2 linked regions of the Canis lupus familiaris genome follow. The main gene of each other region encodes a partner of the protein of the gene in region 2 in a complex. Links are inferred from orthologs where the notes say so. Each region holds a gene or a part of one and is shown on either strand. Other genes may lie near its edges. The genes, in order: CSF3 and CSF3R.

Region 1 (3,900 bases), on a different chromosome or scaffold from region 2:
TAGGGCCAACACACGACCCGCTGGCCAGCCCTTGAAGGGTCAGAATCCTGACCCTGGTGAGAGTGGGGCAGGTGTCAGGATCTTGTCATTGTTGCCATAGGGCATCGAGAAAGAGGAGAGAGTGATGCCGAGGCTCCCCATAACTGGAAGTCAAAATATTCCCGAAAACGTCTTAAAAACTAGATTCCCCAGCACATTCGTGGGACCCCAGGGTCAAGCCTCCCCACTTTGGCTGCCTCTGCCGGGTTTGATGCCTGTGGGGAAGGGGACGTGAGGAGAAGCGAGACAGCCCACCTGGCACGTGCAAGCCAAGTTGGTGAGGCCAGAGTGGGGGGGCACCCAGTAGGGGAACACTGCTGTTTAAATATTAAACAGGGTTGTTTTGTCTCCCACCTGGAAGACTTCCTGATGCTTCCATGGGCCTCAAGGTGGGTACCCTTGGGGTAAGGGGGTCACTGGGATTCTACCCAGTGCCCACCACAGAGCCAGGCCAGGGAGCAGTCACAGGAATCAATACTTGGTATTTACCTATCTACCTCCCCGTCCAGGGGACAGGAAGACAGGGGCTTTTCTCCCTGCAAAAGCAGGACAATGAAACTCAGAGACGGCAGGAAGGACCCAAGAGTGCAGGGCTCCTTTCTGTTTGTCCTCATCTTTAAATATTAGATTTAAATAAACATAAATATTAAATAAAGATAAATACACTGGCTGGGGAGGGTTTTGCTCAGGGTTTGGCAAAGTGGCGCAGAGCGCGATATGCCAGCTCCAGGAAGCTCTGCAGGTTGGAGGCCACCAGGACACCTCCTGCCCGGCGCTGGAAGGCCGAGGTGAAGGCTGGCATGGTGCCCTGGGTAGGTGGCACGGCGGGGGACATTCCTAGATCTTCCATCTGTGGGGGGAAAGATGAGATCTGCAATCAGGCCCTGCTGAGTGGGCATTTTTGAATAAGGAAATGCAAAGGGGTGACAGGCCATGGAAGGTGACACCACGCAGTTAATGGTGGAGTCAGGCCTTGAACCCAGGTCTGTTTCAGGGTCCAGTGACCTGGTTCCTGCCCTCATCCAGGGAGAGCGGGGAAGGGCCAGCAGCAAGAGGGGCCTGGGATGGAGTGGTAGCTCCCGACACACACCCTGGGAATGCTCTCACCCTGGCCCTAAAGAACCGGGATCCCAGGCTTGCAGCCTGATCTTTGGGGACCGGCTCCATCCAGGCCCCTAAGGCTTGCCACTTCCCATGAGGCTCACCTGCTGCCAGATGTTGATGGCAAAGTCGGTGGTGTCCAGCTGCAGTGTGTCCAAGGTGGGCGCTAACTCGGGGGATATCCCTGCCAGGGCCTGCAGGAGGCCCTGGTAGAGGAAGAGGCCGCTGTGGAGTTGACGCAGGCAGCCCATCTGGGGGATGGAGTAGAGGAGTCAGGACGTGCTGCCTGGGACGCTCCTCTCAGGGCCCCACATTGGAGCCTGGGGGTCCAGGGAGACTTCCAGACCATCCTTCCCTCTCCTTGTTGCCCTCCTCCCCTCCAGAAACTCACCAGCTGCAGGGCCTGGCTGGAGCAGCTGCTCAGGGGAGGCTGGGGGATGCCCAGAGCGTGCCCGAGCAGCACCAACTCCTCAGGATGGCACAGCTGGTGGGTGGCACACTGGGGACAGTAAGGATGCTGAGTGAGGGGCACCTGACAGGGCCACGGCTGCTCCTGTTTCCTAACCTTCCCCGTCTCTCCCAGGTCTTCCCCTCTCTCCCAGCCCTCCCAGGCCGCTGCCAGGCTGCTCAGCCCCATCCTGCCCTCCACAGCGATCCTGGCAGGCCGGCCCGCCAGCCAGCAGCTGCTCTGAGCCCTGTCCCTGAGCACTCTGTTCCCCGGTTCCTAGCCAGGCTTCCATGGCTCCACCTCTGAGTTTCTTCCCTTTCCCTTGGGTCTCTCCTCTCCCACGTCCCTCCCTGATCATATCTTCTCTCCATTCCCTTTCCCACCCTCAGCTCTTCCCCCCTGTGCCTGCCCTCAGCTGTCCGCTCTGGGTCCCCCTTCCCAGCCCCGAGGTCCCCTCCGGTGCTCTCCCTCACCAGAGTCTCCTGCAGCGCCGTGCCATCAGCCTGGACCTTCCTCATTTGCTCTAGGCACTTGAGCAGGAAGCTCTGGGGCAGGGGGCCGGTAGGGCCCAGGGGGGCGGCTTCTTGCACCATCCAGAGTGCGCTGTGCCACAGCAGCAGCTGCAGGGCTGAGAGCAGATGGGGTGGGGGGCTCAGGAGCCCTGCGGTCCACTGCAGGGCCCGGGGGCCCTCCCAGCCCTCTGCCACTCCAGCCTCCCTCCCTGGGGCCAGGACACTCACCGGTCAGCTTCATGGGGCTCTGGGCTGCAGGCTTAGCCGAAGGTCTGGGTGGGTCTGCAGGCTCTGGGCTCTGGCAGGGACGGGCTCCAGAGGGCCTTTATAGAGGAGCCCATGGAGGCCCGGGAGGAAATTACCTGGTGCCACGACCAGGGCTTAGTAATAATTTCCTAGGATTTATGCAAATTTGGTGTCAGGACAATGTAGGGGGGCACTGGGACAAAAAGCTGTTTGCGAAAGTTTTGTGAAATTGTGGAATCTCTGATCGTTCTTTGACGTCTGATCCCCCTCACACTCTTCCTCCCCTCAGCCCCGCCCAGGCCGAATTGCCCCAGGGTGTTTGATCTGAAGCACTGAACTAAGTGAGCTTGAGCCACAGATAAGAGCCAAGGAGCCTGGAGGCCAGTCAGGCCCACACTGCCCAGGCAGGCCAGGGACAGCCCCTTCCTCCCTCCCTCCCTCCCTCCCTCCCTCTTTCCCTCCCTCCCTCTCTCCCTCCCTCCCTCCCTCCCCTGCCTGATCTGCGGGAGTAGCCCCCTGGCGCTACCCCCCTTGGGATCCCCGAGCTACCTGTTCCCTAGACTCTAGAGTCTAGAGTTGGAGGGAAGAAGCTAGTTGCCCCCCTTTCTACCCCTCAAACTCCCAAGAGGCTGCTTTCCTGAGTCCCCCTCCTGAGAGGCCAGGGGCCTGAGATGGGGCCGTTGGGATCTAGCCTCCTGTCTCCACCCCATACTTTGATGGGCACCATCCCAGGTCCCTATCTTGAACTGGTTAGCTGGGAACCCCCCACTCCCCCCCATGACTCATTCCTCCAAGCCCCCGGAATCCTGGCAGAAACCAAAGGAAACCGGATGTCTGTCCCAAATGAAGCAAGACCCTTGAGGTTCTGGGGCTCTGGGTTCACCTGACCTTGCCCTTCCTCCTCCTCCTGCGCTCCCCCTCCCTCCAGTGGTGTCCCAGCACTTGGGAGCTGGGGGAAGGTCCCTGACGTGGCTTCCCGGTCACTGCCTGCCAGAGTGTGCGCTGCCCTGAGGCGGAGAACGGCTGGGGGGCAGAGAGAAGAAATTGCCCTAGCCCCAAACCCCAGAACCGCGCCAGTCTCTGATTCGGTTCTAAACCCCATGAACTGGGCCGGAGAGGGAAGGGCCTAGCCTAAGGTCAAGGAGAGCCGATTCCGACTCAGGGTTGCAGCCTGGGCCTCAGATCAGACTTGAAGGTTTCCCACGGCCACGGGCCGGCCTAGCTGGCTGCCCTGCCACGCCCAAGGCTGTCACTTTCTGTCTCAATTTACCCCAGCACCAGCCAAGGAAGGACACCTTTTGATGAGGAGTGGGTGTGTCTGTCTGGGTGAGGGCATCTCTGGGGCGGGGGTGCCCCCTGGTGGCCACAGCTGGCAGGGCCTTCACCTGTTGACTCGCATCCTGCCTCTAGTCCCCTGTCCTCCCAGGGCCTCAGGGTGCTCCCCACTTCCACCTCCCGCTGGGTAGCTGGTCACCATGCGCTGATTGGGGCCAGCTCTGTGCCCAGCTCTGCGGCAGCAGAGGGGTGGGTTTGGAACTGGGGGGCAGGAAATTC
Region 2 (3,900 bases):
GTGCCGTGATGTCCTTTTGCTTGAGGACTAGGTATCATTTATCTTGCGAAAATGTGTGCAGTAACCTGTATCTGCTTGGCGGTAAACAAGGGTAAAGTTTCTTTCTGTCTTTTCAAGGTTTTAGGAAGGTTGGTGATGATGCCCATCACATTTTGGTTAATGTTCATTCAGTAATAAAACTGATTTCATCCTCTTCCACCCTGGTGGAGAGGTTTTCTAGGTTGGCAGGAGATTTTGTTTTTTAATGTTTTATTTATTTATTTAAATTTTATTTAAAAATTTTTTTAATGTTTTATTTTTAAGTAATCTTTACAACCAGTGTGGGGCTCAAACTCACAACCCCAAGATCAAGATTTGCATGCTCCACACACTGAGCCAGCCAGGCGCCCCAGTAGATGGTTTTATTTGTTTTTCTCCAACACAGCAAGGATAGTCTTTTCTGAGGTCTCTTCTCCTGTCCCACAGCACTTTGTGATCCCTGCCTCAGTCCTGGCCACTCTGCCCTAATGGGCAGTCTTCGAGTCTCTACCACTAGAATGCGAACTCTTTGAGGGCGGACTGAGCCAAGTCATTTTTGAATCCCCGCTGCCAGCACAGGGCCTACATGCTGGGTGAGGGCTGGGGGGATTAATGAGCAAAGGAAGGAATATGCAAATGAACACTTCTGATAAGTACCCCCATCACTGCTAGGACCCTAAAAAGGAAAAGGACAGAGGTGCGGGCGTACTCAAGAGTTTCTCAAAATCAAACCAAACCAAACCATGAACCAGTTTAAGAGACTGAGATTACAGGAAATAAGCACAAGAGGCTAGTGGGCAGGGTTGGACGAAGCATTCCGTGGCCACTAAATTAAGGGCCCAGCCTGTGGGGACTGGAGAGAGAGACGAAGGATGCTGGGGGCCAGAGATGGGGAGGAGACCCTGTAGCCTTACTGCCCTTCTGGGACTAGGTGGTTTTTTGCATGATGGGCTTACTAATACTCTCCTCTCCTCTGGATGGCCCAGACCTCTCAAGAGACAGGCCCAAGTGGGGGTCCCAGGGGATGCTAGATGCCCCCCAGCCCCTCCACCCCATGGACCTGGAGCCCTTGCAGGAGGGGGAAGTCAAGCAGTGGCCCAAAGACACAGTCATCCTCCTGGTTTGGGACGAGGGGCTCTGGGGTGCCCAGGGGGCTGGTCTGGAACCAGAGGTTCTCATAAAACTTGGGACTGGGAGTAAGGCCCCCTAAGAGGGGCTGAGTAGAGTCACAACGGAGGTAGTGCCCTGGACCTGGGCTGGTGGGGCTGCCCAACACCTTCCCGTAGAGGACCTGGTCACTGGTGCCGGACTGGGGCTGGGTCTGGGTGGAACATGCTCTTGGGTCCCCCTGGAGCACGTAGGCCTGGACCAGGGTGGGGAGGCCACAGGTCCCTGAGCTGTCATTTGACTCCCAGGGCCCTGGCTTCTTCTCCTCTTCCTCCAGCACTGTGATCTTGGTGATGGGTGGCATGCCAGTGTCCCGAAGGCTGGGCAGCTGGAAGGTCTCCTGGACACAAGGACGGGGGGTGAGGACGTGATTCATCTGAGACATTCGTCCCAACCAGTGTCCCTTCCTGAGTTGGGGACAGTTGAGATATTCCTGCTGCGCTCTGCTGGAACCCCTGAGGATGATGCTTGTGAAGCACCTCATGCTTTTCTGACACCTGCTCTGCACTTCAGACTTAGCTTAAGGTGCTTGTCCCCAAGGATTGTGTGGGAGATATGTCCCATTTCACAGTGAGATGGCCGAGGCTTTGAAATGGGTAGAGTTGGGATCCAAAGTGAGATTTGCTTTACTCCGGAGGGAGGGGACCTTGCTAGGAAGTGATGGGAAGGCCTGAGTCCTCATCCTTGGAGGGGTTTCCTTTCACTTGGATCCTGGACCAGCACCCCCCGGCCCCATTTCCCTCTCCCTCTGGGGTTCTCACCTCCACCATGATGCTCGGCACCCAGGAGCCCAGGCTGCTGTGGGCTGGGTCTGGGACACTTGGCCAGAGAGGATTCTTTCTGCTGCAAAAGAGGACAGGAGAGGGCCAGGTCAGGCTTGCCCTCCATCTTTCCATCCTTTCTCTCACCCACTCCCAGCAGCGGAAGGCCCCTTGGGCAGAGAGGAGATGGTGCAGTGCCTGATCCAGACGTGGGCCCTGAGGCCTGTGAGGGCGAGGAGGGACTTGGATTGGCCCACCCCAGCCTGCAGTTCCCTGTGGGCAGGGGCAGGTAGGTATTAATTCTCTTAAAAGGACTCACCTGAAAAAAAAAAAAAAAAAAGGACTTACCTGGGTCTGCAGCAGAGCCGGGCAGCCCCGCAGAGACAGATGAACAAGAGCAGGAATCCAAAGAGGCCCAGGAGGACATGCAGCTCAGACTCCTCTGGGGTGAAGGGAAAGCCAGAAGGGGTTAGAGTGCACGCAAGGAAGGCTGGGCCTCTTCCGTCACACTGGGCTCTGAGGGCAGGATTGGGCCTCCTCCCTCAGGCTGAGCTTCATGGGCAGGTCTGGGTCTCCTCCCTCAGACCAGCGGATCCAGGCAAGGCCTCAAAATGAGAGATCCGTTGGCCGAGGAACCTTCCCAACAACCTTGTCTGGCCGGCCCCCTTCTCGCCTTACCTAGGGCCAAGGTCATCAGGGTAAGGCTTGTGCTGTTGGTGGCGCCGGCCTTACTGGTAGCCCTGAGGAGGACGTGGTACAAGCTGGCGGGCTCCAAGCCGTGGAGGACCAAGCCGTGGGAGGAGGCATTGAGCACAGTGGCTGGGAGTAGAAGAGAATGGTCAGCCTGGGCCCAGATGCCGAGGCTCCCTCTGCGGCTGCTGAGCGCTCCCCCCGAGGCCTTCTGGGGCTGTGGGGTACTGAGGATAGACTCACAGAAGGACTGGCCCCGAGCAGAAGACGTCCAGAAGACGGTGTAGTGGGTAAGGGGGCTCTTCCCTAGCTCAGAGGGCAGGGGCACCCACTCCAGCCGGGCCCAGGTCTTGCCAATGTGCTTTAGATGCAGCTCTGGGGCGCGGGAGGGGGCTGCCGGGAGAGAGAGAGGTACAGGGGCTGCCGGGGAGCTGGGCAGAGTGGGGAGCCCAGCTGGACACCTCGCGACTCCCCAGACCCCAGAACTGAGACACACTGTGCTGAGGAGTAAGGAAACGGCCCCCCTGGTGTTGCCGGGACCTTCAGCTGCATTCCATAGACTGCTAATAAGTGGCCAGGTCGGGACTGGAACCCGCTTCTCTTTGCTTCCGAAGCCTCACCACCCCACGTCCACCGGCTTGGTTTAGTTGGGCTCGCTGTCTGATTTCTGCCCCTCGCCCTCTGACTTTATGCCAGGCCCTCCGTCTAATTTCTGCCGCAGCTGACACTTGATTTCTTTCAAGGGTGATTGATGGACTTTTGCCAGACCTGCTGCCAAACTCACTCCCTAGTTTCTGTCACCCGGCCGCCTGACCTGTCCGGCTGCAGAGGTCTGGGGCTAGCCTGGGGTAATGTTGGGGTTGGGAGAGAGCTTCTTTGGGGCCAGGGGTGGGGGGATGTTCCCTCATAGTCCCAATGGCCGGGGCCCCAGCAGGCACTGAGAGGAGAGGGTTCTGGGGAGGCCTGGTGGCTGACGCACCCATCTCTTGGGAGTAGGCATAGATGTGTCGGGAGGGCCCCACGCTGTCCTGGTATAGGGGGGTCACAGTGATCTCGTAGAGCTGAAAGGGCCTGATGTTCTCTGTGGAGAGAAAATGGGGTAGGGCGCCCCGGTGAGGGCCTAACCCCCCCGTGGATGATCAGGAGCTGACCCCAGATCCCCCAGGCCTCAGGCTGCAGAGCTAGCTGCTTCTATCTCTTCTGCGGATCATTTGATGGGAGGGAGGGCAGAAAAGTGGGGAGAGCTAGAAGGGTGGGAGGGTCA

Evidence for each region.
Region 1: the proteins of CSF3R (region 2) and CSF3 are in contact, whole or in part, in a crystal structure (PDB 2D9Q), measured with the Homo sapiens proteins. The link is inferred for Canis lupus familiaris from reciprocal best matches to the Homo sapiens genes CSF3R and CSF3. Residues at the interface, in NP_000751.1 of Homo sapiens: Arg164, Arg190, Lys191, Leu193, Leu194, Leu195, Tyr196, Gln197, Asp220, Met222, His261, Ile262, Asn263, Arg311, Pro313, Leu314; in NP_000750.1 of Homo sapiens: Ser42, Leu45, Lys46, Glu49, Gln50, Arg52, Lys53, Leu141, Asp142, Asp145, Thr148, Thr149, Gln152.

What each region holds. Positions count from the first base shown.
Region 1 is NC_049230.1:22,479,726-22,483,625, forward strand, and holds the start of CSF3 (granulocyte colony-stimulating factor), read right to left. Parts: upstream 2,651-3,900; 5' UTR 2,342-2,650; coding exon 2,329-2,341; intron 2,217-2,328; coding exon 2,062-2,216; intron 1,640-2,061; coding exon 1,532-1,639; intron 1,392-1,531; coding exon 1,245-1,391; intron 890-1,244; coding exon 725-889; 3' UTR 1-724. UniProt on the Homo sapiens protein: Granulocyte/macrophage colony-stimulating factors are cytokines that act in hematopoiesis by controlling the production, differentiation, and function of 2 related white cell populations of the blood, the granulocytes and the monocytes-macrophages.
Region 2 is NC_049236.1:5,900,632-5,904,531, reverse strand, and holds the end of CSF3R (granulocyte colony-stimulating factor receptor), read right to left. Parts: intron 3,757-3,900; coding exon 3,616-3,756; intron 3,030-3,615; coding exon 2,880-3,029; intron 2,766-2,879; coding exon 2,625-2,765; intron 2,389-2,624; coding exon 2,295-2,388; intron 2,236-2,294; exon of another isoform or gene 2,104-2,235; intron 2,029-2,103; coding exon 1,947-2,028; intron 1,711-1,946; exon of another isoform or gene 1,526-1,710; coding exon 1,046-1,525; 3' UTR 384-1,045; downstream 1-383. UniProt on the Homo sapiens protein: Receptor for granulocyte colony-stimulating factor (CSF3), essential for granulocytic maturation. Plays a crucial role in the proliferation, differentiation and survival of cells along the neutrophilic lineage.